Linked DNA regions of Tribolium castaneum. Each later gene encodes a partner of the first gene's protein in a complex. Links are inferred from orthologs where the notes say so. Each region holds a gene or a part of one and is shown on either strand. Other genes may lie near its edges.

Region 1 (15,804 bases):
AATCCTTCCTGTTGAATCTCCACCGGAGCCTTCACCTCGAAGTTCGGTTGTAACCGTTCCGGTTACCCTTTCTTCGCTCATAACCTGTTGTGATGGGAAGAGAATTACGTTTTGACGAAAATAAGGAAATAAAGACACGACTCACTACTTCCGGTGCTATTTTTGTAACGGCGCTCGCTATCGGTTTGCCGGTTCGTCTATCGTACGTCATTTCAAATTCCACCGGATCACCAATTTTCAAATGTTCAATATTACCACTGAACTGACTAAAATGGAAAAAGAGACGAGCCTGTCGTTCGCAGCACTGGATGAATCCGTAAGAATGCTAGGAAAAAGGAAACAATTGAAATAATAGCAAGTGGTTCACACTATTATTATATTACAAGTGCGATTCTCTCACCACATTATTACGAAATGACGAGACTGCGTTGTCTGATTTAAAAAAATGCACTCGATAAGATTCCATTCAAACTGAACTACAAACAGTTATATTTTTAAGTCTTAATAAAAAAAAACTAACTTTTACTCGTCTTCAAGCTGCTAAACCGCAATTAATTAGCACATAAATAAACCGAAAATTTAGCAATTGAACAATTTTAAGCAATGTTTGAGATAAAAACGCAGGCTTTGTGTAAAAAACTGCTAAAACTAGATAGAAAAATCATTAAATTGGACCGAAAATTGTCGTTTTTTCCACGTTTTACATCCAGAAACGTCATTCCTTAGTAAAAATTAGTGAAAAATGAAACATATTACATACAAAATCTTTGTAGTTATGTTTGCTTCTACGAACAATTATTTCAAAAAATTTGTTAGAAAAAACGTAAAAATCACTGAATTGGATTCAAGCGCCCTGCGAGATTTTGTAAAAATGAAACAAAAAATCAATGATAAAAATTGCAGTCTATTTTTTCGAACCTCTTACTAAGTTGCACAGTCAAAAAACCAATTAATTTAAAAAATTTTGTCAAAAATAAGAACAAAATCATGAACTTCTTTAAGCAGATTTTCAGCACATTTTTCGGCAAAAACCACAACTCATTAGCAAAATTTCCACATAAACCAAAAATTCACTAAATGGTTCAAAAAGTGGACAACTTCAGGTAACGTTTGGGATAAAAACGCAGATTTTGTGCGCGATATTACTAAATCTAGATGAAAAATTATTAAGTAAATTCGCTTTTTTCACATTCTTCCTCCATAAACAACACTATTTAGCAAAAGTTCGAGAGAAATAAACTGAGCTAGCTCTCACACATCGTGCGATTTTTTTAATTCTACAAGCAATAAATATTTCGCAATATTTCGTTAAAAAAAAAACAAAAAATCGCCGAATTGTGTTGAAATAGTAGTATTATTTTCGCATTTTCAGAGCATCTAAACAACACGTTTATCGCACAATAATAACGTGTTACTTGCGCCTTTTCTAGGGGTCAAAATGAACAAGTTTTTTGCAAGATTTTGTAAGAATGGCATAAGAAATTAATAAATGAATTACGTTCTAAATTGCTGTATTTTTCTTTTCTTCGAAATTCTTACTACATGGCTACTAATTTAAGAAATTTCGTCAAATAAAACAAAAAGTAATAAATAAAATAATGCACACTTTAAATTTAAGTCCTAATTTGCTGAAACTTTTTTTCTACGAGAATAAATAATTTAAGAGAATAATTTTAAAACGCTTAACTTCTACTAGATTCAATCTAAAATCATAATATTACTGTGCATTTATCAGCTAGAACTGCGAATAATTAGCAAAATTTAATCACAGATAAAGCGAAAATTTACCAAATACATTTATATAACATAGTTACAATCTTAATGAACGTTTGAAATAAAAACACAGACTTTGTGCAAAATATAAACAAACTTGAATAAAAAATCACTATAAATTGAGTCGAAGATGACATTTTTTGTCGTCCTTTTCACGCATTTCCACCAGAAAATAAATTATTTATCAATAGTTCGAGAAAAATAAGTCGAAAGCAGTGATTTCGGAAAATTTTGTAAAAAAAAACAAATCATCAAACTGTGTTAAGAGGTTGTTTTTTTACGTAATAATTTGTAAAAATGAGATAAGAAATCAATAAATTAGGTTCTAGAGTATTTTTCTCTATTTCTTACTTCTTACTAAATGGTTCGGTCAAAAACGAATTAATTTCGAAAATTTCGTCAAAAACAAGACGAAAAATCACAAATACATAAAGTAATGCACACTTTACGTCCTAATTTCAAGCAGCTTTTGCTGTAACTTTTTTCTAAGAGAATAATTAAAAATGCTAAACTTCTTTAATCAAATTCGATCCAAATTGTATTATTTTACCGAAAATTTACCGAATAGTTCGACTAATGAAGTAATGACTAATGAAAATGACTCTATCTTACAAAATTCTTCATAATTTTCCCTCAAAAACGACATTATTTAGCAGCAGTCCGAGAAAAATAAACCGAATTAATCTCACAAATCGTGTGATTTTTTACTTTCATTATTTCGGAAAATTCCGTAAATCCTCCTAATTTCAGGTAATTACTTCTACAAAAAGAATTTAAAAGCGCTATATTTCCTAACCAGATTCTGTCTAAAATTTTTCTTTGATAACAAAATTTATTTAAAACGAAAAATTGCTAAAAGTTAGCAAAAATTCGTTAAAAAAAAAATTAAAAATACAACGAATTTGGTTGAAATGGTGTTATTTTCGCCTTTTTCTCGCGAAATTTTGAAAAAATAGAATAAGAAATCAATAAGTTAGATCAAAAATTGCAGTATTTTTTTCTATTTCACACCTTTTACTACGTTGCTCAGTCAAAAACGCAAATAATTTGAGAAACTTCGTAAAAACAAAGCAAAGAGTTTCGAACAAATAAAACACACACTTTAAACATTCTTATTTCAAGCTACATTTGCGTTCCTTTTTATTACAAAAAAATATAAAAACGCTAAACTTCTTTAACCAGATATTGAATCTAGATAAAATTATATTTTCAACACATTTTTCAGCTAAAACCGAAACTGATTTGATTAGTGATTAGGAAATTTCGTCATCAATAAACCGAAAGTTTAGCAAAAAGTTCGGATAAAAACGCAGATTTTGTGCAAACTATTACTAAACCTGGATAAAAAATGAAAAAACTGAGTCAGAAATTACATTATTTTGCCGCTTATTTCACGTTTTTCCATCATAAATTCTTAACCAAATTCGGTTTAAAATTATAAGGTATCACTTTGCCTTTTCCAGCACATTTTTCAGCTAAACCCACAATCATCCTAAATAAACCGAAAATTCACCAAATAGTAGTTCACAAAATTTAGTTTAAAAAAGGCAAAAAAATTCTGAGAATTTGTTTGAAGCGGTGTTATTTTCGTAAGTTTCTCTTAAGATTATGTGAAAAAAAGGAAATAAATCAATTTGATGAAAAATTGCTGTATTTTTCGTCCTAAATAAAGAAAACAGTTACTAACAAATAAAATAACGCACATATTAAACGTCCTAATTTCATGCAACAGTGCTGTTTATTTCTTTTACGAGAAGAATTTAAAGACGCTAAACGTGTTTTGCATTTACGTAGAACATTTTGAATTACAATTAATTTTTAAATGTGAATATCTTAAAACCAAATGCAATCACTAAAACCTAATAATTTCAAAATAAACAAAAATGACAAAATTTGGTTGAAATGGTGTTATTTTCGCCTTTTCTGGTGAAATTATGAAAAATTAGAATAAGAAATCAATAAATTTGGTCAAAAATTGCCGTACTTTTTTGTATTTCAGACCTTTTACCACGTTGCTCAGTCAAAAACGCAATTAATTTGAGAAACTTTGCAAAAACAAGACAAAGAGTGACGAACAAATAAAAAACACACTTTAAACGTTCTAATTTCAAGCTACATTTGCGTTCTTTTTTATTACAAAAAAATATAAAAACGCTAAACTTCTTTAACCAGATTCAATATTAAATTATATTTTCAACACATTTTTCAGCTAAAACCGAAACTGATTTGATTAGTGATTAGGAAATTTCGTCATCAATAAACCGAAAGTTTAGCAAAAAGTTCGGATAAAAACGCAGATTTTGTGCAAAATATTACTAAACCTGAATAAAAAAGTAAAAAAATTGAGTTAAAAATAACATTATTGTGTCGCTTTTTTCACGTTTTTCCATCATAAATTTAAAACGCTGTATTTCTTAACCAAATTCGGTTTATAATTATATGTAGGTATTACTTTGCCTTTTTCAGCACATTTTTCAGCTAAACCCACAATCATCCTAAATAAACCGAAAATTCACCAAATAGTAGGTCACAAAATTTAGTTTAAAAAAGGCAAAAAATTCAAAGAATTTATTTGAAACGGTGTTATTTTCGCAAGTTTCTCTTAAGATTATGTGAAAATAGAAAAGGAAATAAATTATTTTGATGAAAAATTGCTGTATTTTTCGTCCTAAATAAAGAAAAAAGTTACTAACAAATAAAATAACGCACATATTAAACGTCCTAATTTCATGCAACAGTGCTGTTTATTTCTTTTACGAGAAGAATTTAAAGACGCTAAACGTGTTTTGCATTTACACAGAACATTTTGAATTACAATTAATTTTTAAATGTGAATATCTTAAAAACAAATGCAATCACTAAAACCTAATAATTTCAAAATAAACAAAAATGACAAAATTTGGTGTTATTTTCGCCTTTTCTGGTGAAAATTTGAAAAAATAGAATAAGAAATCAATAAGTTAGATCAAAAATTGCAGTATTTTTTTCTATTTCACACCTTTTACTACGTTGCTCAGTCAAAATCGCAATTAATTTAAGAAACTTCACAAAAACAAGGCAAAGAGTGAGGAACAAATAAAAAACACACTTTAAACGTTCTAATTTCAAACTACATTTGCGTTCCTTTTTATTACAAAAAAATATATAAAAACGCTAAACTTCTTTAACCAGATTCAATATAAAATTATATTTTCAACACATTTATCAGCTAAAACCGAAACTGATTTGATTAATGATTAGGAAATTTCGTCATAAATAAACCGAAAGTTTAGCAAAAAGTTCGAACATTGAACAAATTTAACCAACGTTTAAGATAAAAACGCTGATTTTGTGCAAATTATTACTAAAAAATGAAAAAATTGAGTTAAAAATTACATTATTTTGCCGCTTTTTTCACGTTTTTCCATCATAAATTTAAAACGCTATATTTCTTAACCAAATTCGGTCTAAAATTATATGTAGGTATTACTTTGCCATTTTCAGCACATTTTCCAGCTAAACCCACAATTGATTAGCAAAACTTCATCCTAAATAAACCGAAAATTCACCAAATAGTAGTTCACAAAATTTAGTTTAAAAAAGACAAAAAAATCAGAGAATTTGCTTGAAACGGTGTTATTTTCGTAAGTTTCTTTTAAGATTATGTGAAAATAGAAAAGGAAATAATTGATTTGATAAAAAATTGCGTATTTTTCGTCAAAAATAAAGAAAAAAGTTACGAACAAATAAAATAACGCACATGTTAAACGTCCTAATTTAATGCAACAGTGCTGTTTCTTTTCTTTTACAAGAAGAATTTAAAGACGCTAAACGTGTTTTGCATTTACGTAGAACATTTTGAATTACAATTAATTTTTAAATGTGCATATCTTAAAAACAAATGCAATCACTAAAGCCTAATAATTTCAAAATAAACAAAAATGACAAAATTTGGTTGAAATGGTGTTATTTTCGCCTTTTCTGGTAAAATTATGAAAAATTAGAATTAGAAATCAATAAATTAGGTCAAAAATTGCCGTACTTTTTTGTATTTCAGATCTTTTATCACGTTGCTCAGTCAAAAACGCAATTAATTTAAGAAACTTCGCAAAAACAAGGCAAAGAGTGAGGAACAAATAAAAAACACACTTTAAACGTTCTAATTTCAAGCTACATTTGCGTTCCTTTTTATTACAAAAAAAAATATAAAAACGCTAAACTTCTTTAACCAGATTCAATATAAAATTATATTTTCAACACATTTTTCAGCAAAAACCGAAACTGATTTGATTAGTGATTAGCAAAATTTCGTCATAAATAAACCGAAAGTTTAGCAAAAAGTTCGGATAAAAACGCAGATTTTGTGCAAACTATTACTAAACCTGAATAAAAAAGTAAAAAAATTGAGTTAAAAATTACATTATTGTGCCGCTTTTTTCACGTTTTTCCATCATAAATTTAAAACGCTATATTTCTTAACCAAATTCGGTTTAAAATTATATGTAGGTATTACTTTGCCTTTTTCAGCACATTTTTCAGCTAAACCCACAATCATCCTAAATAAACCAAAAATTCACCAAATAGTAGGTCACAAAATTTAGTTTAAAAAAGGCAAAAAATTCAAAGAATTTATTTGAAACGGTGTTATTTTCGCAAGTTTCTCTTAAGATTATGTGAAAATAGAAAAGGAAATAAATTATTTTGATGAAAAATTGCTGTATTTTTCGTCCTAAATAAAGAAAAAAGTTACTAACAAATAAAATAACGCACATATTAAACGTCCTAATTTCATGCAACAGTGCTGTTTATTCTTTTACGAGAAAAATTTAAAGACGCTAAACGTGTTTTGAATTACAATTGATTTTTAAATGTGAATGACTTCAAAACAAATGCAATCATTAAAGCCTAATAATTTGAATAGAATAATTGACAAAATAAACTTTAAAATTATTCATTTCCTTAAAACCAAATCTTACAATAAAAAGTAATAAAATCATTATCTTTGTAATTTTACGTTTTAGTTCATGTGAAAAAACTGTGTAAAAACTCAAGAGAAAATCGCACTTTTCCCGCTGTTCAGGCAAAAGCCCGTATAAAACGTCGCTCTCTTGTCACATAAACATAATAAACCGCTAAAAGCTGTCGATCAGCCGTCGTTCAAATCAATATTTCACGATCAGAGTCAAAATTTCCATGCGGTTACTGGCACTTGAAATAAACGCTTCAAAACCCCCACAGCGTATAAATCACAGCCTGTCCTTTATGTAAATTTGTACGCCAGTGTGAGTGTGTATAAATGCAACATCATGTTTACCAGCAGCTTTTCGATGATGCCCGTTTCTCTGGTGCCCAAATTCGACGAATTGGAGTCGTTGTAGCTGCTGTTGTTTCCGTTGGAGAAAACGTTGTTGCTGGTGATGGTGCTGTCTCCGCTGCTGTTGAACATGTTATTCGAATCGAGCGAGAACGTACCAATCGGAAACCGAGAATTTGTATGTGTGGTACTTGATGATCCGTACAGACCGTTGCTGAATGATGAAGACTTGTCCTGCAGCAAAGGAAAGTCTTGCCCGAACCGTGAATTAGATGTGGAGCGATTTGTAAAATTAAATGCTTGAGATGCTTTGCCTACAAGAATTTTTTTAATGTTTTATTAAGTGTGTGGGGTGAAAATTACCGTTGCTGGTCATTGGTTTGAAATCGATGATGGCAGAGTCTTGATTCATGGTGTCGGGCGGCTGGAAGGATTTCCACTGAGGATTGGTGGACATAGTCTATCAGTACAATGATTTATCTTTTCACTTCTTATCGTTTCTTAAGTGTAGTGAATATCACAGAATGGTTAGTGGTATATGTAAATACCCCACAAAAGTCAATTATGGCAGCCGAGACCGTACTAATAAAATTATCACTCCTACTTTGAAACCAAGTCACAAAGGTACAATTATGCTCAACAAACTTCACAATAATATATCGTTATTACAATGTTACTAGAAAAACAATCCAATAGGTATAAAAATTACTATCCACAGTCACTCAAAATTTAATTATAACAGAATATATAAATAAAAAAATCCTCAGATGTCTTCAATGCGTGCTGGGTGCGTATTGTGCTGTTATGCTCATAATTTGTCAAGGCCAGTGGTTGCGCTGATACTGGTTTACTTTAAATTTTCTATGCTAATTTTGAAGTTTTTCTTAGTTACACAAGCTGAAAAAAAGACAAAGCAGCATTAATAAAACGAAAACACACATGTTTTAAACAAAATTTGAAAGGTTTTAGTCTAAATCCGCTGTTTTCGTAACAAAGTCCAATAATTGATAGTACGACATTTAAATCGCTAAAAGAAAGCTCGATTTTTCATAGCTTGTCAGTGTATTAATCGGACTTCGTTTGAAAACTTTTTTTTTAAATAGCGCCCTTACTTTAAAGTACATCGGAAAATCAATTCATTTAGACTGTTAATAATAATTAATAAATAACGAAGTAAGAATTTTAAAGACGAATCATTAGTCAATTAAAACATGAGCACTTTACTACACAAGATAGTAACGACTAATGATAGCTACTAAGACACAAACATTTAGCAAAATTAATTAAAATATGCGCCAAAAAGATAGTTCATTAAATAAAAATAAAAAATAAAACATAACAAATGTTTGTATTTTTTAAATAAAAAAATCTAGATTCTCAACTTTTATGTAGTTATACAGGGTTATTCACATAACCGGAGTCTTATATTTCACAAATAAAAGTCCAACACAAAATACAGATAATAAAAGTAACTAGACGCCTGTTATGAATATATGATTTAATTATCAAATTGATGCTCTGTAAAATGTATTTCGTGTTGTGTTTTTACCTATTCAAATTCGAAGTCTTATGTGAATCATCCTGTGTATGTAGCGATAACACTCTAAGTCCATTATTTTTAATAAATAAAATTATTTACAAAAATTGTAGATTTTGAAATTTTGACCAGCGTAATGTTAGAGCGACAAAGTGTGAAGTCCAAATTATTTATAAAACAATAGAAAAAAATATTTTTTTATTCTTTCACTTGCAACGATTGGGTTTATTCTATTAGAAATTGTAAAAATCCCCCTCAATGAAATTAGAAGACTTTTTAAACTTTCGTAAAATTTATTTGAATGTAACATCACCATGTATTGCAAGAAAAAAATGTGAAGATGGAAAAAACCAATTCAAATTATTAGAATTATTTGGTTTCAGTTAAAAAAAAAGACCAAGATATAGAAAAACTACATTTTAAAACAAATTTCACAAAAAAAACATTAGTAAAGCGAAATACGATAACTTGATGACACAGCTTAAATCAATACCAGGGGAAAATCAGAATTATTACAGAAATTTTCCTTATATTCAAAATGCTGAAAATTTTCTGAAAATTAACAATTAACCTTCTTACTTAATATATTTAAATTGTCAAAAAAAATATTACAATTTCAATGCATTAAACTTTAATTTATTTTAGCTTTTTGCATATTGAAAAAAAAACTTTATATGTTCACTCTGTATATTTTATTACCTATTAAAAAAATTCATTTCAATAATTTATTAATTTTATTAACAATTTTTTTTTAATTTACCTCAATTAAAAAATTCAATTCAATTCAAAAAAGTAAACCTAAGCTTTCCAATTTACTGACGTTAAATATGGTATAAATGCTTTGAGAAAAAGCATTGAAAAATTAAAAACTAACTGTTAAAAAAATAAAAAGTAGATGAGCCAAACCAGAATTTGTTGACATCAATCAGGTTACATCAATTGCAAGCATTACAAAAGCGTGCTAATATTTATATCACTTTACAAGATTACATCCACGAACGACCAACTTATTTATTTGTGGATGTTCCGATAAAATACGACCTTGACTCGCCTTATCTACCATATTTTTAAAGCTTTTCTCTTTTGAGAAAAATAACAAGACTAAAATGTCTCAAGATTCTTATATTTTTATCGCTTTATGTTCAGTGTTTGAAGAACTCTGAATATTTCCTTAAAAATTCAGTTCATCATCTCAATCCAAATCCGGGATAATGTCAGGAACGTGCTTGCTTTACATTTGTTTCTAACGATTCGATAATAACAAACTAAGCGGAAAAAATTCGAATTGAAATCGTGTCTCCAAGTACCCTTGAAAAATATCGGCAGAATGAGATATCGTACCCTTAAAACTCCCAGAGATTTATTCGAGGTCGTGAAAACGGAAATTGCGATTAAATAAAGCAAATAAAACCAATTGCCCGAGTTTGTTTTTTACGAGACAACTGGTGGTAAATGATAGAGACATTGCACACTCAGCTGATTATCCAACAACGATATAAAACGGGGGAATCTAGGCCAGGAGCTCGTTTTTTACGAATTTATGGCGTAAATCTCGGAAAATCTTCAAGTAATAATGACTATAAATAATCTTAAAATTTCCATTCGCATTACGAACGTCACAGTCATAACTAAACAATTAACGAACAATAAAACCAAACCGAAATTGAAGTCGCTGTTTTATTAAAACCCCCGTCAATCATCCCTCTATTAGCACCGTTTATTTTGTCGGCTAATGAATCAATATTGATTTTGCTTGCAGTAAATTATGAGTGGAGGTTTTTAGCAACGAGCAGACAACAACACGAATGCCAAAAAAAAATAAATCTCATCGATTTTGTTCATTATTATTATGCGCTGCCTCGATTAATTAATTTACTTAATTGCTGACAAGTTGCAATTTCATTAAAATCGTAAACAAAATAATCGAGAAACTCATTAATTTCCACTGTTAATTACGGGTTATGGATTTCATATTATTAGAGGAGGAAAAATGACCAACGTAAATCTATTAACTCATTTCCTTTGTTTATGAATTCGGGCGAAAATCTGAAACAATGCCAAATGAGAACCGACCGCAGACTGAACGCTAATGAAGATTATTAAAATGACGAGAAACAAAGGGGGGTTTTGGACCAATTAAATGACATTTAAATGACTTTTATCCTGTTTCAAAGTAAGTTGAATATCACGTACGTAATTACAAATAAGCCGGCAATTTTACGATTTATTTATAGAATGTCACAACAGATCACCTGCAATTTTATTCCATTGAAAACTCTTCGAATAACAACATTTTGTGGCTATTTTTGCACACTCACAATGAAAAATAACCTTCGAACTCCTCCTCCAATTAAAAAATTCAAATTCTCCAGAAAGTGCCTCGAGGTCATCAATTTTAAAACTTCTTTTTTTACCCTCCTCTTCAAAGCTTACGTCTAGTCTAATTTTACGCTCGGCAGAATCTACAACAATTAAAAAAAAACTTTGTTCGGTTTTTAATTTCGGCACCTAGTGATTTATGTAATTTGCGAATCCTGCAACGATAACCTCGTTATTGCACAATTAGTGTTTTTTGTCTGTAATAATTTAAACCTTGACCAATTCCTTCGCAAATTTTTAAAACTTGATACAGCGTTTGCAACTTAACAATAAAACTACAAAAATTAAATTGCTTGACAACCAATCTAAAAATATTAAATAATGCGAAAACGTGGTAAAGTTTATACAAGCTTGACAAAGTCCAATCTATCGCTGGAAAAACTTCCACTTCAATTTAGAGCTTTTTCTTCGACAAAAATTATAACACAAAAACGTGGAAAACAAGGAAAAACACAACAGACAAGTAACTTATTGATTAAAAAGTTTCGATTGTTGAACACTTTAAAAGTTATGTAATTTAATTAATTTCTCAGGTATTCAAAGAAAGTGAAACAAAGAAAAATAATAAAATTGTGATAAAAAATAAAGGAATTTCTTTGATAAAAATTGTTATCCTTAAGACCAGTTATCAAAAGCTTGCCTTGTGATAGCAAAATAACCTGACATTAGTCATCGCCTTGTCAGTCAAAATATTTAAAATATTAGAAAAATCAAAATATTAATGTATAACAAAATCCAAGTGCAAAGTTTCTATCTGTGCTGTTAACAATGGTATAGTTATTATTTTTGAACAATTAAATATTCATAGTGTTTCATAAAACAACAATAATTTGGAAAATTAACAAAAATAATAAAATTTAATAAAACATATGCACAATGAAACATAAAAAGAAACATTTTTAATATTAAACCTTTAACACTCAAATTATTTAAAATGAAACAATAATCTTCTATTGTGATTTAATATTGCTAAAAAAACAACAAAGAACAATTATTTTGAAAGAGAATATTACACCAAAAATTTTAATGTTTACAACTGTTGCTGTTTTGCACTGAGCTATTTAATTCATGATGCATGACGATGCATGTTCTTTGTCATACATTATACAGGGTGAGCCTGTTAAAAGTACTTTTTACTATATCTTAAAAACTAATAATCGTAAAAAATTAGGGTTTACTATTAAATACACACTGTTCAAAAATGATTGTTTATCAAGTCACCTATAAAAAAGAATACACACCAACAAAAATCACGTAAATATAAAACACAAATTCTACACTTGAAACAATTTTACCGAAAAATACAAAAAATTGTAAAAAAAAATTAATCAAAAATTTGACAAAAATGACAGTACCCAGAATTGAATTTAAATTGCATAGTAGGCTTGATTAACAACCATTTTTGAACACATTGTATTTATTTTTTTTTTCTCTCTAGACGTAAACTTTTTCAAATTTTTTCTACAATTTCTTTTAATCAAAATAAGTTAATATTAATTCGCTATAAATATTTTTTTAAATAATATCAATTAACATTCTGAAACAATAAAAAAATCCTCGAACAGATCGCTTTTTTATATATCGTTATTCCTTTTTGTGTAATGACGTCATTTTTATTTTTTTTACAACTGTCAACTGACATTTTTTATTACAATTTTACATATTACACATTTATATCTTTCTAGTAAGTATAATGAATTTAAAAAAAAACAACAAAAAATAAAGAAGAAAATAAAAAACCAAAAAATTACAAAGTTTCTTTTGATGCTTGTTTTTTTTTATAAGAGATAATTGTTTTTCGTTTATTTCTTTTTGTTTTGCTGTCATTTTAAGTGTTTTCATGATAATTATACAAAAAAATATATAAAAAACAACTGACAGACTATAAAGTAAGTTAAGAATAAAAAATAAAGCTCTTAAAAGTATACCATTTAAAACAGTAAACAAAAATGTCGGAAGTCATTAAAAAAAAGAATGACGTAACTGTCACTATGATGACAAAATTAAAAAAAATAAATCGACCTGTTCCGAATACTTTTTTGGAAAATTACCTTATAGCAAAGATAACCACACAAACATCATTTGTTTCTGAATGTCATCAGAAATAATTAAAAAAAACAGCGACTTGATATTAATTGATTCATTTTTATTATATAGAAATATTCTAGAAAATTCAAATGCATAGAAAAAAAATGCTTTTTGCGACACCCACTTTTTTTATTTTATACATAACAGGAAAAATTACATTCCTCATTTTTGCTATTAAAACCTTAAACATACAATTTTGACAATTATTTTTATCGACCACTTTACAGGTCCGTCAACGGTAAAAAATACAAAACAATGGCGCTTGTGTGAACATGAATTCGCTGATATGAACATTAATTTTTCAACATTGTATACTCTATAGTGTGAACAACATAAGAGACGGATAAGATAAACACGTAATATTTATAGAAATTATTTAATAAAAGCAGGTACCTGCTTAAAGGATTCGACTTGTTCTTGAAGTCGTTCAAGTCATCAAGTCGTCTAGTTGAAAATCATTTTAACACACTTTGTACATACTATTTGTTGCTTTAAAAAATACATATGAAAAAGCCATTTTACTAAATGCTTCCGTAAAAGTAGACAATAATTATTTCGTATTTTCCAGCAAATAAAAAATAAAAGTTCTTGTAATAAAATAATAAAAAACATTGTAATTTTATTAAACAGTATTTCAAACCAATACGTATGTGTATAATGGGCTCGATAAATAAACAGATGCAGTATTTCGACAGTCCAGAAACGTACAAGTGACAATGACAAACGATTATTTTATTAAAAAATTAAACTAATAAATTGTTCTATGATCTGGTTTATATTTTTTAGTCTAAAGGAAACTTTAAACCTCTATTTCAAAACAACTTTGCAATTTAATCCCGACCACAAACCACAACAATTTGATTCATTGTTTCACAAACGTACTAACTTATAATTTATCAGAACTCGCTAAATACTAGTATTTTCGTTTATTTATCAAATTAATGCTTTTTATTAAATTATTTTCGTATTTGACTGAAAACTTCAGTCACAGACGTCCGCCTCTATTTATAATTGATAAAAAGAGCGAACACGTGAAGATGTTAAAAATAAGTTACATATTTACAAACTCCATGTTGGTAATGTAATTCTCTGTAAAATTTTCCACGACTTTAGATAAACGATCATGCTTTTTTACTAAAACAAGAGAAATTAATACAAAACTGAAGGCAAAGCAATAGAGCGCCGACTCCCATCCACCTATCTCTACTTTATTAATAAGCTCGTCGGTAATTATGGTATGCTCGTAATTTCTATTTACAACAGGTCTAATTTAATTAAAAAAGTGCGATATTTTTGCTTCGGCGGCACAATAGCCCTCTTTAACTCGCAAATGAGTGCTCGTTAATGAAGTGCCTCTTTGCACCCGTTGTAAACAAAAACAAACATAAAAGTTGTTAATTGGGCCCCTCGACGTAATAAAACATTTAAATATAGCCCCCAGTCCGCGGCAAATGTTTATCCCATTAGCTAAAACAGCTCCCGATTTAGAACCATGTGCATTTGGGGCAAGGGGTAAAACAACGGTCAAATTATTGATTTGCTTACAATCCGTCTGTTCAAAGTTTCAACAACAAAGCCGGGCCGGCTCTGGGCGCGCGAGGGCCCCCCTCGGGGGCACCCCGTGGACAAATCAGCCCAAACCCGCCGATTACTGCGTAGATCGAACCGCACAAAAGATACAAGAACTAAGGGTTAGAGGGGCAAGTTTCGCACAAAAAACTACCATTTCAAGCGCAAAAAACAACGCAAATCGAACGTATGGAGGGTAATAACGAAAATTACGTACTTTTTCGACCAGTTTTGATGTTAAGTATACGAAAATTTACAAAAATTTCAACTCACCACGACACAGCACAGCACTGACGACATGCCGCCATGTTGAATGTCAACATGAGCGAGAAAAACAAAACGAACCAAAAAGGAAGGCCGGTGATTGGTCGGCGCCCGTTGCCAACCTAACGTGTTAAGAAAAGTTTAACTATCTACGCGGCCTCTGGTGGTGCATTCGAAGTATTCAAAATTTTACTTTTTTTCACAATTATCAAGCAAAAAATCCTAACAAAACTATAAGAAAAGGAGAATAAAGATGTAGGGTAGAATCTAAACGAAAATTTGGTGAATTTAAAAAGAACAAAGAAAAAGTATATTAGGAGAGTATACTTACAGAAACAATGCTTAAGAATAATCCAGAAGAGAATTTGGAAAATGTAGAAGTATTTATAAAAAACTGACAAATATTACAAAACGATTCCAAAAAAATAACTTATGGAATAATCTAAAAAAAAGATCTAGAGTCAGCTTCAGAACAGATTCAGAAAAAAATCTTAATAAAAATGTAATCTAGAGAAGAGTAAAAAAAATTATGTACTAGAGAATAATCTGGAAAAAAATTAGAGTATAAGTAAAACAACAAACAAGTATTTTTCTTCTTGAGAGAGAATATAGAAAAAGTGACTGATAAAAAAATTTAAATGTAGTCTACAAAATAATTATAAAAAGTGTATAATGAAAAATTTATACCAAAATCAGTATAAAAAACGTCTCAACTGCAAATGTATAACATAAAAAAATCATTGAAAGGTACAGAAACAAAAACAATAATACTGACAAAACATAATGTATATAAATAATAAGTAAATCAAAATTATCAATTTACAAACAGTTTTAAAAAATAATCAAAAAAAAACTGAAAAATTTAGAAAACAGTACAGAAACCAAAGAATATTATTAAATA
Region 2 (16,341 bases), on another chromosome or scaffold:
TATCCCCCAAATCCTTCTCGCATTTTCATTTTCGAGATCAACAGTTACGCATGCAATTAAACTATATTTGACTAAATTGTGAGTAATGTGACCTGAAAACTAAGCTTCAGAGCCTTATATGGAAGTATTACGCGAGAATTTACATTCTATCTTGAATCTCACAATTACAGCAAACATATGTTGTTTTTTTCGCTTGTCCAAGTCTTCACAAACAACTTTATCACACCATTATTGGATCAAGTTTTATTGATAATTAGCGCACTATCCCATTTCCATAAAAAACATTTTTATTCGCTTCCCTTATCGCCGTAAAACCAGGTCGCGATTCGCAAACATCTCGAAAGGCGGAATAATTGAAGATGAAATAAACTTACTTTCAAAAGTGTGATTTTTTTATTAAAAACAGCACCCAAGAAGTTTATTATTAAAATGACGCATAGTCTAGCCCTAATACTAAATAAATAATACAAATGCAAATTATCTCATTCCTAATTAGTCTCTAGATTTGTAGTAAGACAATATTCGTAAAACTTTTGGCCACAAAAAACTCATAGTATTTGATTGGAAAATGGCCAATTTTGAATTTTATTCGTCTGGACTTAGTCATAGCTTGACAAATTTTAAAGAATTAGCAAAATGAATAATTGCGAATGAATCACAACTATAACAATGAAACAGCGAGTCTTCGTGAAAATAGGATTGTTTGTAAATAAAATATTTCGCGTATGGTACAGTTCGATATGGTACCGGAAGCGCAACAAAAGGGAAAAACCGGAAGCACATACATGGACACTCATGAAATTTGTTATGATCGTTATGTACCATTTCATTGCTGAAGCGATTTAACATTGACGAAATACAATGTAACAGAATAAATTTATTTAATTTTCGACGCGAAATCGTGATGTATTTAACACAAGTGATCGTTTGTTCTATCTTTTTGAATCTCATTGAGTGCCAAAATTGGCGTGAGAGACACCCGTCAGTTAGAGTACAACAAGGGCTTTTGGAAGGGGTAAGTCACCGTCCAAAAAACCCTGTCTCACCCCCTAACAGTCCAGGATTATCACCGACACGGGAAAAACCGTAAACGCGTTCCTCGGCATTCCGTACGCTGCGCCCCCGACAGGCGATCTGAGATTTGCCCCACCTCTGAAACACCCCCCGTGGAACGAAACGCGGCAAGCCACCAGTTTCGCACCCCACTGCCCCCAGCTGCCCCCAAAGCCCGGAATTAACGACCAGGAGGACTGTCTCTACCTCAACGTTTGGTCGCCTGAGGTTCGAGAGTCTTCATTTTTGTCGATTTCCACAAATGGATTTGTGGCGACTTTTCCAGAACGCAGGCCTGTACGCCCCACTGCCGGTGGTGGTTTTTTTCGAAGGGAGGAATTTTTACCAAAGCAGCGAGTTTCCGATAAACGGGCAAGATTTGGCGACTGAGGGCTTGGTGGTCGTGACGCTCAACTACCGACTGAACGTTTTCGGCTTTTTTTGCTTGGGGTCGGCCGAAGCGCGCGGAAATTTGGGGTTGTTGGACCAGTATTTCGCTCTGGTCTGGATCCGGCAAAATATCAATCAGTTTGGGGGCGACCCCGAAAAAATCACGCTTTATGGCCACCAGTCGGGGGCTGTGAGCGTGACCTTTCATATGGTTTCGCCGCGGACCGCCGGGTTCTTCCAAAGGGTTATCATTTCGAGTGGAAGTGCCGTAGCGACCTGGCAGGAGAAAAATGACCCGGTGGTGGCATCCAAGCAGATACTTCGGATGTTAGGTTGCGACGCTTACACCGTGCAGCCGATTAAATGTCTCCGATCAAAGAAAGTGGAACATATTTTACAAGCTCTGGCTGAGTATTCAGAGGTGCGTTCGGACAGCCATACTCGAGACACTCATCGGTTTTTGCAGTCTTTTAACTGGAACGATAGATTTTTGCCCGTTGTGGACACCTTCCTACCGGAAAATAACCGGTACCTCCCTTTGAACCCCACAAATGCGCTCAAAGAAGGCACAGATTGGCAAGTTCCCGTTCTGACCGGAATTTCGAAACCTATCACCGACGAGCAATTTAGTAACGTTTTTTTGACAATCGTCCCTCCTTGACCCTTATTTTTAGTGCAGTGGTTGGAACTCGCAAGTCAGGGCTTCACCCAGTTACAACAATACGTCGAAAAGGTGAAAATCCCCGAAATTGCGCGTTTGTATAAACTCGGGGCGTCCAACAAAGACCACATTTATGACCTTATCAGGTGGCAGTACTTCTCGTCGAACCAAGGGGACGTTAGACTCCTCTACGACGAGTTGAAAGATTTTGAGTTTCAGGCCAAAGTGGAAGCGCCACATTTTTTGCAACTTTCGCACCTGATTTCGTCATACGTGCAACCAATTTATGTTTATTTTATGGATGATGTTGGGTTTGTTCTCAATACAACCGATTCGACCATTACCACAGACCTTCTCTTGGTATTTGGACCGATTTTGCTGAAGCAAGTGGCCAGGCGGCGGTTCAACGCCAACGAAATGAATTTGAGTCGACAAATCAAACAGTTATGGACCAACTTTATAATGTTTGGGTATTTCCCCCAACATGAATAGTCCAAAGTCTAGGAAAAAATTTCAGGGAGCCGACACTAAACAATCAGGTCAGATCGTGGCGAAAATACACCTCGGGGGACTATTATATCGAAAATTTTGGGCCGGTTAATTCCCACATAAATGAAGAAAATAAAAAACGCGTCCAGAGGGTTTTGTTCTGGAACCAGCTCGTGCCAAAAATGGCCAATATTAAGAATAATTTATCGAATAACATCCCGCGGGAGCTACAAAATAGTCCAGGTAATAACTAATTCACAAAGTTGCATTTTATTTGGTAAGTTCTAGACCCGGCTGCAGGTTTCCGGCATGCAATGTACACTTTGGTGGCTCTTGTGATCGCCCTGCTCGCTTTGCTCCTAATTTGCATTGTTTTATTGAAAAAGCGATCGAGGGAGCGGGAAAATCATCTTCATATGGGATATTAAAAATAAGTTGCAAACCAGTTTTCAATTAACTAAATATATTTAGATGTCTCATCACTTGTGATACGTTTTTGGGCGACAAGACAGGACTATTAAGTTTTTTTAATTCTATTTATAAATGTCAGCGGAATCAGGTAGACGGGAAAATATGTACATATCGGTGCTTAACAAACGCATTTATAAATATATTTCGACTGTAGATGTGTCGTTACAACAATTTTATTGTTTTTGTCATCACCTTTGTAAAAATAGTGTCCAAAAATAATTATCTTGTGACCTTCACTGTACATACTTATCTAGTTTGTTATTGGCCATTTATGTACAATGACATATAGATTCCACCAATGGCGAGCACAGCCCCTTATTTAAATCAAAACGCCTATTTTTGTAAATAGTTATTAAAAATATTAAATGTGTACTAAAAATAAAAACTAATAGATATTTATCTGTCCCGTTTAGTTTGTTTTAAAATAAAATCCCGCATTCTTAACCTAGAAACCTAATTAGCACAGGTGGAAAAAGTATAAATATGTGTATAAAAAATACAGTTTTTTGCGTAAGAAAATCGAAAAATCGTTTTTATTACCTTCCCTTTACCAAAAATCAAAATCAATGCTTTTTTCCTAGAGTTATGGGAAAAACCTAACCTAGATCAATATAAAATAACTTAAGGAGTGTGTTTTGCTTAATTATCCCACAAATTGGCCGAAAGTTGCGTCACTGAGCAATTTCTCGCTCCGTCTTTTTTTATGGACAATTATTTCAGATAAAACATTCAGACATTTGGACTTTGTGCATTCGTGCTGTTCCCCAATTAGATAAATACCAGTGATAAGTGTGCAGTGCCTTTATTGCGAAAACCAAACAATGTCTTCCCTCTGGAACTCTCTTTTAAAAGTCCCGACTCAGATAAAACAATTCTCCGTAACTTTTTTACAAATTCGCAAAAAACATGACATAACCTCAATCATTTTCAGGTTCCGGTGCGTTATTTGAACCTGTTGGAGTACCAAAGCAAGCACCTTTTGCGCAAAAATGGGGTGGCTGTGCAAGACTTTTGCATGGTTGATGATAAGGGATGCTCCGAGTTCGATAAATTTAGTAAAAGTGTTAATAAAAGTTGGGGTTATGTCACTGTTTAATTTTTTGCAGATGTGAAAGAATACGTAATAAAGGCACAAATTCTGGCGGGTGGTCGCGGCAAAGGCCACTTTACCAATGGTTTTAAAGGCGGGGTTCATGTCACTGAGAAGTAAAATTTTTTTTGTGGTTTTGTCAAAATTGAGCGTTTGTTTCAGACGCAATGAAGTCGACGATATCGTCAAAAAAATGCTCGGCCACAGGCTTATCACGAAGCAGACGCCCAAGGACGGCATCGAGGTGAAAAAAATCATGATTGCCGAAAGTGTGAACATTCAGAGGGAGACCTACGTTTGCATTTTAATGGACAGGCAGAAGAACGGGCCTGTCTTAATTGCGTCCCCCGCAGGCGGCGTGGACATCGAAGCCGTGGCTGAGAAGACGCCCCATTTGATCAAAAACATCCCCATTGATATTCACAAGGGGGTGACCGATAGTATGGCCAATGAGGTGGCCGAGTTCCTGGAGTTCAAGGGGCCCCTCAAGGGTTTGGCCGCAGCCGAGCTGAAAAAACTGTGGCAGTTCTTCCTCGCCGTCGATGCCACTCAGCTCGAAATCAACCCTTTGGTCGAAACGGACAACAATAAAGTGATCGCAGTGGATGCGAAAATCAATTTCGACGACAACGCGCAGTTCCGCCAAAAGGACATCTTCGCGTTGGAGGACGTCACCGAGAGCGACCCCCGCGAGGTCGAAGCGGCGAAATACAACCTGAACTACATCGGGATGACAGGAAACATCGGCTGTTTGGTCAACGGCGCCGGTTTGGCCATGGCCACCATGGACATCATCAAGCTGCATGGGGGCGACCCCGCCAACTTCCTCGACGTCGGGGGCAGCGTCCGCGAGGAGCAGGTCAAAGCCGCGTTCAATATTCTCACGTCTGATAAGAACGTTAAATGTATTTTGGTCAACGTTTTCGGCGGGATCGTGAATTGCGCGACGATTGCCAATGGAATCGTGGGTGCAATGAAGGCGATGAAGCTTGAAGTGCCTTTGATTGTCAGACTGGAAGGCACGAATGCGGCGGAGGCCCGGAGAATTATCAAGGATTCAGGCATGAATATCCAAACAGCTGAAAATCTCGACGATGCCGCCAAAAAAGCGGTGCAGAATGCCTAACGTGTTTTTGTTGATAAAGTGTTAATTTGTTGATATTGCTCATTAGTCAACAGCACAAAAAACTGTTCAAATGACCAATGTTTTCATTACTTCGTTTTGATATTGTATTTTCGGTTAATAAAAATTTCTCATATACTATTCGTTTTTCATTACACCATTATATCCCAGATAATAGTTTTAAAGTATTCAAAATTTTTTTTCTTCAAATGGCACCCTATTACGATAATTTTTTTGATAAAAGATTATGCTCTAAAATACTAAAAGTACTAATACTTACTAAAAAGAATTTCGAAAATTTATTTTTGAAAAAACTCGTTCCATACTTTTGCCCACCTCTGTATTTAAGGCAGTCAGGTAAGGTAATGTGAATATAACTATAAAATTTGAAGTTTGCTTGATAAAAGTTATGTACTTTTGTGAGAAAATTTTACGGTACTGTTTTTTTATTGCTTTTTCGATTAATCAAGTTTTTTAAAACAATTTTCAGTATTCCTTCATCTTATATCCTAGTTTAAGTCATTAAAAAAAATACAGCACCCTTGTTCCTTGGACAAATCGCAATCATTTTTTAAAATCGTATTTGGGCATTTGAAAAAGTAAGCTTAGATCTTTTTTTTAGTGTTTTAAAATGTTGAATTATTTTGGTACTTTCAATACTTACCTTGAATTTTATTTCTGGTGCTTTAGATATTATTTTTAGATCTTATTGTAGTGAAGTGGTAAATAAAAGAATGTGTTTTTATTAAGATTTATTATTTTAAAATTCCAAAAACCAAGAGAGTAACATAAGATTGAGAAATTAATTTGAACGAAAAATAAATATGAAATGTACAATTTTATATTACAAATTCAGTAAGTTGCAGATACATCAATTAATAGGATATTGGAAAATGCGAAAAGTAACTAAAAACCAAAGAAATAACTATTTAACTAAGATAGTGAAAATTGCAAACAAGCAAAAATCACGAACGCATAATAATAGTTTCATTTATGATGATGTTTCGATTTTTATATAAGTTTTTTTGTCGTAAGACATGTTTGCAATTTTTTTCATTTTATTATATTTATTTGTCTGAGTAAGCGACCGTTTACTCTTTTTTAATAGCAGCCTGTTTGGCTTGATGGGCCTGCAAGACAGCAACGGCTTCCTCCACCTTGGCTTTGAGGGATTCATTGTGTTCCAACATATGCAAAAGTTCCGAATTGTCAATTTCGAGCAACATACCGGTGATTTTTCCGGCCAAATCTGGATACATGCGTTGAATAAGTGGGAAGAGCCTCTCACCCAGCATTTGCTTTTGCTCTTGTGGCGGGGCAGCTGCCAACATGGTGGCTGTCAAAGGCTCCTGGCCTTGAATGTGGACAGCTTGCTGGACCGGAGCAGCATTGCTGATGCCTAAACCTTGTGGAGGATTACGCATATTTGCTGTATACTTGTAAGTAGTTGGGCGATTACCTGCAGGTGCTACAACGGCTTGGCTAGCTAATGGTCGTCCTTGTATATTCGGTGGCTGCTGGCCGGTTATTGGTCTTGGCACATTGATATTGCTCCTCAAAGCGGCGGACTGGTTCGGGGGCCTTGGCGCGGCTCGGTACGTGGTCGGAATGGTACCGTACGGGTTAGCGCTGCCCTGGGCTCCGGGCCTCACGGGGGTCTGAGCCGGCCATCGCGGGTTCGTGCGGATCTGGGCCATCTGGGCCGCCCCATAGAACCTCTGCGGGGCTGGGATCGTTGGAACGAAATACCCACTTGACGTTCCAGGCTGGATAAACTGACCCATTTGGTGCATGCGTATGTTCGCCATACGCTGCATGTATTGTGATGTCAAGTGGGCTTTACGGTCCTCCTTGCGCTGCGCTAAGGCCACGTATAAAGGCTTTGAACCTACGATCCGGCCGTTCATCTCGGTCACGGCTTTTGTGGCCTCTTCCGGCGACGAGAAACAAACGAAGCCAAAGCCTTTGCTCCTATTGTCCTCCATCATTACTTTCGCCGATGTTATGGTTCCAAACGGAGAGAATTCTTTACGTAAACGTTCATCGTCAATTGTGTCGTCCAGGTTTTTCACGTAGAGGTTCACGCCTTGGTAGCGGTTCAAACGCTCCATCTTCAAGGCTTCGAAGCGACGTTTCAATTCTTGCTGACGCTCGGCCTTCTTCTGGGCGCGTCCAACGTACAAAGGCTTTCCATCGATGATTTCCTTACCTAAACAAAGACATTAGAAACAAAATCGGCCACTCTCAACAAGCAACATACCATTCAAAGCTTCAACGGCTGTCTCAGCGGCTTCAGGGCTTTCAAAGGCGACAAATCCGAATCCTTTCGACTTGCCGTCGTCCTTGCTCATGATCTTGTAACTGGTGATTTTGCCGTACTTCTCAAACATGGTGCGCAGTTGCTCCTCAGTCAAGTCTTCGCCGAAATTCTTGACGTAAACGTTGGTGAAGAGCTTAGCTTTCTCGCCAAGCTCCTTTTCACGTTCTTTACGTGGAATGAAACGGCCAACGTAGACTTTCTTTCCGTTGAGCAACATGCCGTTTACTTTTTCGATCGACTTGTTAGCCGCTTCTTCTGTTTCGAAATGGACGAAGCCGTAGCCTTTGCTGGTGCCGTTTTCGTCTTGAGCTACTTTACAACTGAGAATGTTTCCAAAGGCTGAGAACGTATCGTACATAGCCTTGTTGTCAATGGAACGATCTAGATTCTTAATGAAAACATTTCCTACTCCCGACTTACGAAGGGATGGGTCGCGTTGGGACCACATAATGCGAATTGGGCGGCCCTTGATTAAATCAAAATTCATGGTGTCCAAAGCGCGTTCGGCTGCAACATTAACATTTACCAATTTCTAAGAAATTTCAATGTTGCGAGCGTGGTGGGGGAAGGTTAACAATCAAAACGGATTAAATATTAAATGGCAGTCGGGTACCATATGGAACAAATAAATGGGCACTGGGTTCGCACTTACCATCAGCGGGCTGCTGGAAATTCACATAAGCGTAACCGAGAGAACGCCTCGTTATCAAATCTCTGCACACGCGAATCGAAAGGACTGGTCCAGCAGTGGAAAACTTTTCAAAAAGCATTGCTTCCGTGATATCGGTGTGGAGATCCCCGACGTACAGAGACGCCATGGGGTAGTTTGGAGCACCCGGATTCATCTTCGTTCTTGCACACTACACAGATATGCTACGCGTTAACATAAGAAACGAAAAATATACATTAACCGTTTATTTTCGTTTTTTCCACTGTTTTTCGATTTTTTTGGGGTTTTTAATGAGTTTTTATAATTTTTTTGGATTTTTGTAAATATTATTTAGCTTTTTTTTAGGTGGGTTGTGTGTTCTAAGAAGATACACAACCACACGCTTACACCACTAACAACAGTAACAAAATGGAGTCGTTACAGCATTTTCACTACTTATACAAGCCGGATATGACTGATTCCAGTGTTGCCATGTGATGAAATATTGAATAATACATCAATTTTAACGGACCCTGCGACCAATTTAGCAAAAAAAGCACATTTTTGATTTCATACATCGTTTCAGAAAGAATCCGACGTCTATCTCAATTTAATCGAGCTAAATTTGCCAAACCATAAAATTTGACCGTTGACAAAGATGACTATTTTTAAAAATTCTTACACGTACCGTCTCCTATAAAACTTTTAAAAGTTTAATAAAAATACGACTTAAATTTTCGTGACCACAGAACACTTTTTATAGTCAAATTGTTACAAATTTAGGCTGATATGAACACAATTTCTAACGGAAATCTAATTTCTAATGTCAAACTTGTGGCGGCATATTTGAAAGAACGAATTGTGGACGTTCAAACGGAAATCGTTACGTGCTTTAAATTCTTAGCATTTAAATCGTGAAATTTATTTAATTTATGTTTTCGATTATAAAATTCAAAATTCTTTTTTTCAAGAAATCTAACTCTCTAAAACAATTTTTTTAACTCATTCGGATGTCTTTTATAATATTAATAGTAGCACTTAATAAGTAATTAGGATGAGACCTGTCCAAAAAGCTTCATTTTTCACATATTTTCGTAATCATTAAGATAAGAAGTAGTGAGTGATTCATCTATGGTGTGGTAGCAACTAATGGCATTACGAACAGTCTTAAGAGTAGTTTGCTTTAATATTCATATTTAACGAACACATTAAAAAAATTAAGTACCAACTCTCACTGATAAATCGGTGTGTAAATATTTTTTTTCGATATGTAACGGTCTTATCTGCTGCCACAAGTATATGATAACGATTTATATTATTATTAGTTTAAACAAAAATTCAGTGAGAGTAAATTTACTTGCTCAAACAGGTGCTTTTTTCTTTTACGCAATTTTTTAGAGTCAGATAACAAATATTTGAGAAGAAATAGATTTTATATACCATATTTTATAACAAAGATTAAGAAAACACTGATGAGACTAACAAGATGAATGTTATTACATTTTATATAATTTTTGCCTTCATTTTGTAATCGGCTAAGTTTATTTTGTGTTAAATCCATACAAAATAGTTTTTCGGAGTTAGTTAAAATTCAAGATTAATTGTATATATTACAGAAATTGTTTAAAAATGAATAAATATAAATAAATTTTCTGTTGTCTTGATTTTTGATGTAGATTAAGAATATTTAAAACTGGAAACATGAGGACCTCTTGTTTCATTAAAAACAAACAAAAATAACAAAGAGTGCTTTATTTTCTTGTGGACATGGCAATGTGGCAACATCGCAACTACTCACGTGGCCATGTATGGTAATTGTTATTAACATTTTATCTGATTTTTTTATCTACAAAGCACTATTGTGCTGATTAGGCAGGTGAACAAAGTTAGTCACCCATTTTCGTGTGAGAAATCACGTTTTATCGGCAATTTGTGCGGAAATTCGTGGTAGGCCGGTAAGACAAGTCGCTAAGTTACCATCCTGGAAGTGTTACTGGAGGGGATTTCCAGATGGGGCAACGTGTGTAGGTTTGTTCATCCCGTTTTGTTCTGTGCTCTCGCTCCTGACGTAAGAGAGACAGATGAATAATAGTGAGAAAAACCAAGGAACAGTGCGGCGCGTTGTATTTCGTCTGTCAATATCGTTTCAGAATAAGATGTGATAATTTTTTTGAAAAACTTGTGTGAAAAAAGGAAAAACCAAATCGTTGCTGGAGGAAAATGCCCGTCAGATTAAAAATTTGGACGGTACCGTAACAACTGAGGATCGTGTGTGTGTGAACAGTAGGAGACCTGCAATGGCAGGAATAGAAGTCGATATAAATTCGTTATTGGCCCAAAAAGATGCCATCATACGGGAACAACGGGACCAGATAATTCGGCTAAAGAGGGAACTGGATGGAGTTGCAAGCGAGCGGGATCTTTTGCTGTGTGAAAACAGCAATCTGAGGTTCGAGCTGGAAATGGTGGAACTGAAACGGTTGCAAGATGAAAGGTGAGAAAACGGCATCAAACACCCGTTTATTTATTGCGATAATTAAAAAATGGGGAAATCCCTCCAAGGGTGAGATGCGACCCTTGTCATAAATCGGTCGCAGTTTCATTGATGAAACGTCAAATGATTTAAAGTGGCAGTCGTGTTTTGTTTGCAAAGTTTGCGTTTGTTTGTTTTTTGTTGTACATTTCTGGGACAAGGATGTTGTAAAATGTCATAAACGACGCCTCCCACTGACTTGGTTCTGTGCGCATGCGTGGCGACGTCGCGACGCCGACCGTTCACACTGGTCAAGAAGATAATAAGTCGATGGTTTTTATTAAATTAAGGTAATTGGCGTTTTGTTGGTAGTCCTGTTTGGAGGTTTTGTTTTTGTGGATAATGGGATTAGGGAGGCGGCGGTCGGATTTGGGGGCTGTCCTGGTGTCATTAACCTCGAGGATGCACTCTTTGGCGGAAATCGCGCTCGGGGTCCCCACAAAGTGTCATATATGCCACAGTCGAACGGCGTATTGATTTCTAAATAAGGGAAAGTGAACGGATATCCTCAGGCTAGTCTATAACGCGCTGTCGTTTTTGAGGCGATTCTTTAGCTGGCGTTTCTTGGTATTGGCAAGCACCCACACGTTTGCGGTAATTGCTCGTGCATCAGCCTTGAGGCTTGTGGTCGTGTAGTAGAGTCGCACATGTCGTCGGGGCGCCAGGTTTAGGTTGCACCAGGGTTTGATCTGCCTCGGTGTTTATTTGTGGTGATGTAACACCAAGGACTGTGACTAAGTGACGTCAGGCTGTAGCCCCGCTCGCCTTCTTCTAACTGTGCCGATCGTTCCATTCGGTTGTCTGTGCTGAGGCACGGTCAGCTGACATTTGTAATCCGCAAACTGTGTACAAAACCCGCGATTTAACAACCCTAGTGCTTCCGGCCACCACCAGTGATCGACACAAAAGTAGAAAGTACGATTACTTTTACTATCGCCGTTCAATCCGGTCGCAAGTGCAATCATGGTACGTGAATTGTGAGTGCTTGTAATGCGTGGACAGTCGCCAGGGGGGTTTCCCCAACCCTTCGTGCAGAGTCAAGTTAGAACCGAACATGTCAGGTCGAACCCTGTGCATACGGTTGATGTGTGCGATAGAACTGTTGTCAGAGTTAGACGCTCCGGAATACAACAAGAACGGATCAGGGTGGTTTGCACCACCAGAAGACAACATGTCAGTAGACTGGTCACTGTTACCGACGCATGTCACACTTTACCGCCTTTCCGGAAACATGTCACTGTCATCAGGTAAAGTCCCGGAAAATAACATTTCACATTTCTCAATGTCATACCTAAGTATATGTTTAAAGAGCTCAATTTTTCACAAGTACGTATTTGGGTAACTATGTTGCTTTATCCAACAGACCTGAACAAGATTCGCGTTTTTTCCATTGTCAGGATAATTTGGAAAAAGTCGCTTTTAAATGATTAATGACGCTGATTGCTAAATTGTTTCAATTGTACTTTAACAGCCACAATAGATCTCCGTACCCTTACTCACTCATTACCGACACAATTAGAAATTATTGATAAGCCACGTTTTTGTCATTTGGAATGAATCATTGTTTATAGGTGGGTGATCAGGGCACGGACCTCCTTGTGCATTTACCGTTGGGGTAATTAACATGCGCCTACCGTATTAGTTTATTTTTGTTTTGTACCTAGGCTGCTAATGCGCCATTAAACCTACATTGGTTTAACTGTAAGCTGCATTTTATGTCACGTTAGTTTCCGTTTTTGCGAGTGAAAGCATCGTTTTTTAGCAATTTTTGATGTATAAAATGACGTCACGTTACGTCACAGGTGTGTGACAACGTCGCTCAAATGTGGCAACGGTGTTTGAAATGAGGGTATCGTTATACCTACATTAAGTCCCGCTAATTGTCTCTACCCTACTTTGATAACTGGAATGTTGGTACCTTATTATAATAATTGCTTGCATGCTACTGCCACTGCACTGGGCAGTAGTTGAACACACTTTTCTCTAATGAAATCAAGGTTGAGTGAAGTAAAAAAGTAGCTGTACGCGTTAATTCGTTAATTAAATCAGATTAATGTATCGAGATCTGTAAATTAATTGAATTAACTGTAATAGTAATTTTTAACGCTTAATTAATCACTAGAATACATGACGCGCTCTAATTTCGGCACAATCTAGTAAAGTGCCTCATCAAAATTCAAAAGTTGTAACATTTAAACGTATTATGTCACCTACCTGACAGATGTGTTTTTTCTTTTTTTAGAAAATCGCCATTTATCATAGCACACAAATGTTGAATATTCGAACAACTTTCTCCTTTATCGTTTAATTATACGCAATTTTAGAATGTAAAATAAACGTACTTTTTCCTAATTTGAATTTATTTACACATAAAATGCTTTATCGTTTGTTGTTGTATGCGGCGATCGTGTGCCGTACTTCCGTTTCTAAATGTCAATTCGACCCGGACCATCGTCATAAAATCTGATCTTTGCCGATTTAAAAATTTTCCATGTGGTTTTTGGCGAGATTTGCGTCACATCCGTCAAGTCCAAAGTGGGAGCAATTAGCGTAATATGGCAATATTTGTTATCGAATTAGTAAACGTAATTTTTTGCACTTGTTCGGTAACGTCGTGACCAGTTTGTCGCTTATGCAATGGCAGCAATTTATCGAAACTTTCTATGATTTCAAGCAATGTCACCGAATCCCCAGAATAATTAATTTCGTTTCGGCTCGAATTAGAAAAAACAAGACAATTGACGCCATTTGAATGTTTTTCATCCGTATGCGGCTAATTTTGAAACAAATTAGTGAATTAGGCGGGCGGAAATTGCCGCAAATAATCGAGGTCGCGCAAACCGTACAATATATTTAATTCCTTTTACATTTAAAAAGTGAAGTCTTTTCGATTTCTCGAAGGGAAGGAAAGGGGGACGAAAGTATTCGAAAAACATCTGCTTTTCGTTCGGTCACCACACGCCACACATGCGTTAGGGCCGCCACCTGCCGGCCCCTCCCTTGCACCTCGCCTCCCCTGGGGGTTGCATCACGTGATAGCCGGACACGTGCATCGTGTCGGTTTTAAGATATATGTACCTTCTTGAAACGATCCAAACCTAAACCAAGTAACGAAGGAAATTCAACATCCTTTACCCTGTAGACTAAGCATCGACATTTCTGTATCTTTTTCCTGTGTGATTATCTCGGATGATAAAAAATGAATGTATAATTTTGGTAAATGTCGTTTCCTGGATATCTGCAATCAAGGCTAGTATGGTTGTATGTCGAAAAAAGATACGTGCTATTGTTGAATTTTGACGGCCGACTTATTTCCCATGGTATTGTCGCATTATTTCTAATTTGAAGCCTCGGCACGATTAAACTTATGACTAATCTAATAATGTCAATGAATTTCTACCAATTGGTCAAAATGAATTCAGGTTTTATAAGTTATGTCACGTCCATTGCTTAAAATTTAATAGTTTCTCTGATGATGAAACACATGATGCCCGATTTACCAAATGCGCCAGCTGCTCTTCTTCGACCTTATTTTTTCCTTTATGGTTCATCTGACTACCTGTGATTTAGGAACCATTTACCATCTTGATTTCAGTTCGCCAGCTGCCTTCTTAGGGTGTACAGCACTCGAGAAACTGCTGCAGTTCAATTCTGTTTATTTTGTTTTGGTGCATGTGTTTGCGAGATGATTATTTGCATATCGGGCTTTTTGGTGGGAAAGTAAGGATTTTTATTTGCTTTTGCACTAATTAATTTTTTTATTGATAAGGTGAAATTTTTTACGTTAAATTATGCATAAATGAGCAATTACACTCATCCTGTAGATAATACAGACAAATCATCAGATTTAATTAAAATATTTAAATTGACCTACCCCGGTACATGCCTCATAAGAATTTTAAAATAGAAACTTTACGGTTCAAGGATTTCCGACAAGTTGGGAAATCAAAGCAAATACGGACTTTCATTTAAAAAAATCTGTATTTACTGTTTTAGCAAAGTTGAGTGAATTTCTTGAAGTCTGTTTTATTCATAAGGATAGAATCATCCTGCGTGTCCTATTAAAACTTATAAATTTGTAATTAGCCCTTGAACCACTCCCGGCTTCAGTTAATTACGACTTGAAACGTAATCATTTTTGTATTTTTTATTTCCGTAAAGTTTTTCTGTGAATTAGGATTTGCGCAAAGGGGCGTTTTGTAATGTGATAGTCGTCTGTTCATTTAGTTAAATGCTTAATTGTGTTTTTATGTATCGTTGGAGTAGTTGCCTCAACACTGTGGTGCTGGGTAAAGAAATGTAAAATTTCTCTTGTTTTATTTTAATGACATTTCATTCTATCTGGTTTACTGGGTTTTTAATAGTTGTGACATTAAAATGGTTTTTGTTGCTTTGCGTGGCAACAGGTCAATAACAGAAAGTTCACAATTCAGTTTTTCAAGGTTGTGAACAGTAATTTAGGTTTTTGTTGTTATTTTTGTATTGTTTTAATTTCAGCTTTCCACCGAAAATGGAAAGGTCCCAGATAGTGAATTCGATGGGTTCATCCGACCAGTTTCAAGAACAGACTTACATCCAGGCTCCCAGTTTTGTCCAAGCTCAAAACTACAGTACTCCAACCCCCAGTCCTATCTATTCCCGTGCCTCCCCTAACAACTCGACGTACGTGAATGTATCGCAGCCTCTTCATAAGAAGGGTTCTTTACGGAACGGAGATGTCTTGAAAAGGTCGAGGGTTCAGACAACGTAAGTACGCTCCAGTGTCATGTAAGAGAAAACTGATTCGGGTAAATTTAGATACGAGCTGTCGCAAGACATTCTCGACAAACAAATCGAAGTGTTGGAACGGAAATATGGCGGTGTTAAAGCGCGAAATGCAGCTCTCACGATTCAACGGGCGTTCAGACGATACACACTACTTAAAAAATTCGCAGCAATTACAGCAATGGCCAAAGCCGAGAAACGTATTAGTCGCCGAATTCCTGCAAATTCCGAAGACTGTCGTAGCACAATAGGTGAGACTGAGCAGTGTCCCGAATATATGAGGAATTATGAAGGACACGACTGCTCGAATATGAGAGTTCTTCCAGTTAGATCGATGTCTTTGCGCGAGAGACGTAATATTGACAATATGCCAATACCTAGGAGTCAGTCGGGGACTCCTACAGTGTGTTGGGAGAATTATTCCTCATCCTCCCTCCAACACTACTATTCACCCGCTGACTCCAAATCGGATTCGCTAGGTACCCAAGTGACTGCAAGTCCCAGTTCTTGTAGTACTCCTACAACTTCCACAAACGGCTACGCTCGCAGCCGCCACAGTCTGAACAGTAGAAAAGTACCACCAGAAGTACCTAAACGAACCTCAAGTATTACCTCTCGTTCGGTCGGAGACCCCCGACACCACAAAAGCAACGGCTTGACCAAAACAAACGAAAACGGCTCGTTGTCAAGTGTCCAAAGTTCCGGTAGTGACAGTAGTATATCGACTGAACGCGTGCAATGTGAATTTTCCGGATCGCCAGTCTGGAAGCGCAAAGGAAATCACATTTCGGAATACGC

What was found.
Region 2: the proteins of Unr (region 1) and polyadenylate-binding protein 1 are in contact, whole or in part, in a crystal structure (PDB 7ZHR), measured with the Drosophila melanogaster proteins. The link is inferred for Tribolium castaneum from reciprocal best matches to the Drosophila melanogaster genes Unr and pAbp. Residues at the interface, in NP_648226.2 of Drosophila melanogaster: Leu843, Glu844, Thr845, Thr846, His847, Asn848, Gly849, Val850, Glu870, Ile871, Leu872, Asp873, Glu874, Thr878, Val879, Ile880, Ser881, His883, Leu902, Ile907, Asp908; in NP_476667.1 of Drosophila melanogaster: Asn184, Tyr186, Lys188, Ser211, Lys213, Met215, Phe225, Phe227, Ala229, Tyr255, Ala257, Arg258, Ala259, Gln260, Lys261.

The regions. Positions count from the first base shown.
Region 1 is NC_087394.1:5,346,031-5,361,834, reverse strand, and holds the start of Unr (cold shock domain-containing protein E1), read right to left. Parts: upstream 15,053-15,804; 5' UTR 14,913-15,052; exon of another isoform or gene 14,857-14,912; intron 7,964-14,856; 5' UTR 7,524-7,963; coding exon 7,430-7,523; intron 7,381-7,429; coding exon 7,067-7,380; intron 326-7,066; coding exon 146-325; intron 85-145; coding exon 1-84. UniProt on the Drosophila melanogaster protein: RNA-binding protein that acts as a regulator of dosage compensation in both males and females.
Region 2 is NC_087403.1:5,253,400-5,269,740, forward strand, and holds polyadenylate-binding protein 1, read right to left. Parts: upstream 8,690-16,341; 5' UTR 8,443-8,689; coding exon 8,250-8,442; intron 8,105-8,249; coding exon 7,538-8,104; intron 7,487-7,537; coding exon 6,369-7,486; 3' UTR 6,017-6,368; downstream 1-6,016. Other genes in the region: pyrethroid hydrolase Ces2a, read left to right, coding at 905-1,015, 1,057-1,281, 1,340-1,864, 1,910-2,072, 2,118-2,574, 2,622-2,836, 2,882-3,021; ScsbetaG (succinate--CoA ligase [GDP-forming] subunit beta, mitochondrial), read left to right, coding at 3,886-3,942, 3,996-4,119, 4,171-4,270, 4,317-5,280; siz (IQ motif and SEC7 domain-containing protein 1), read left to right, coding at 11,770-12,026, 15,277-15,525, 15,577-16,341.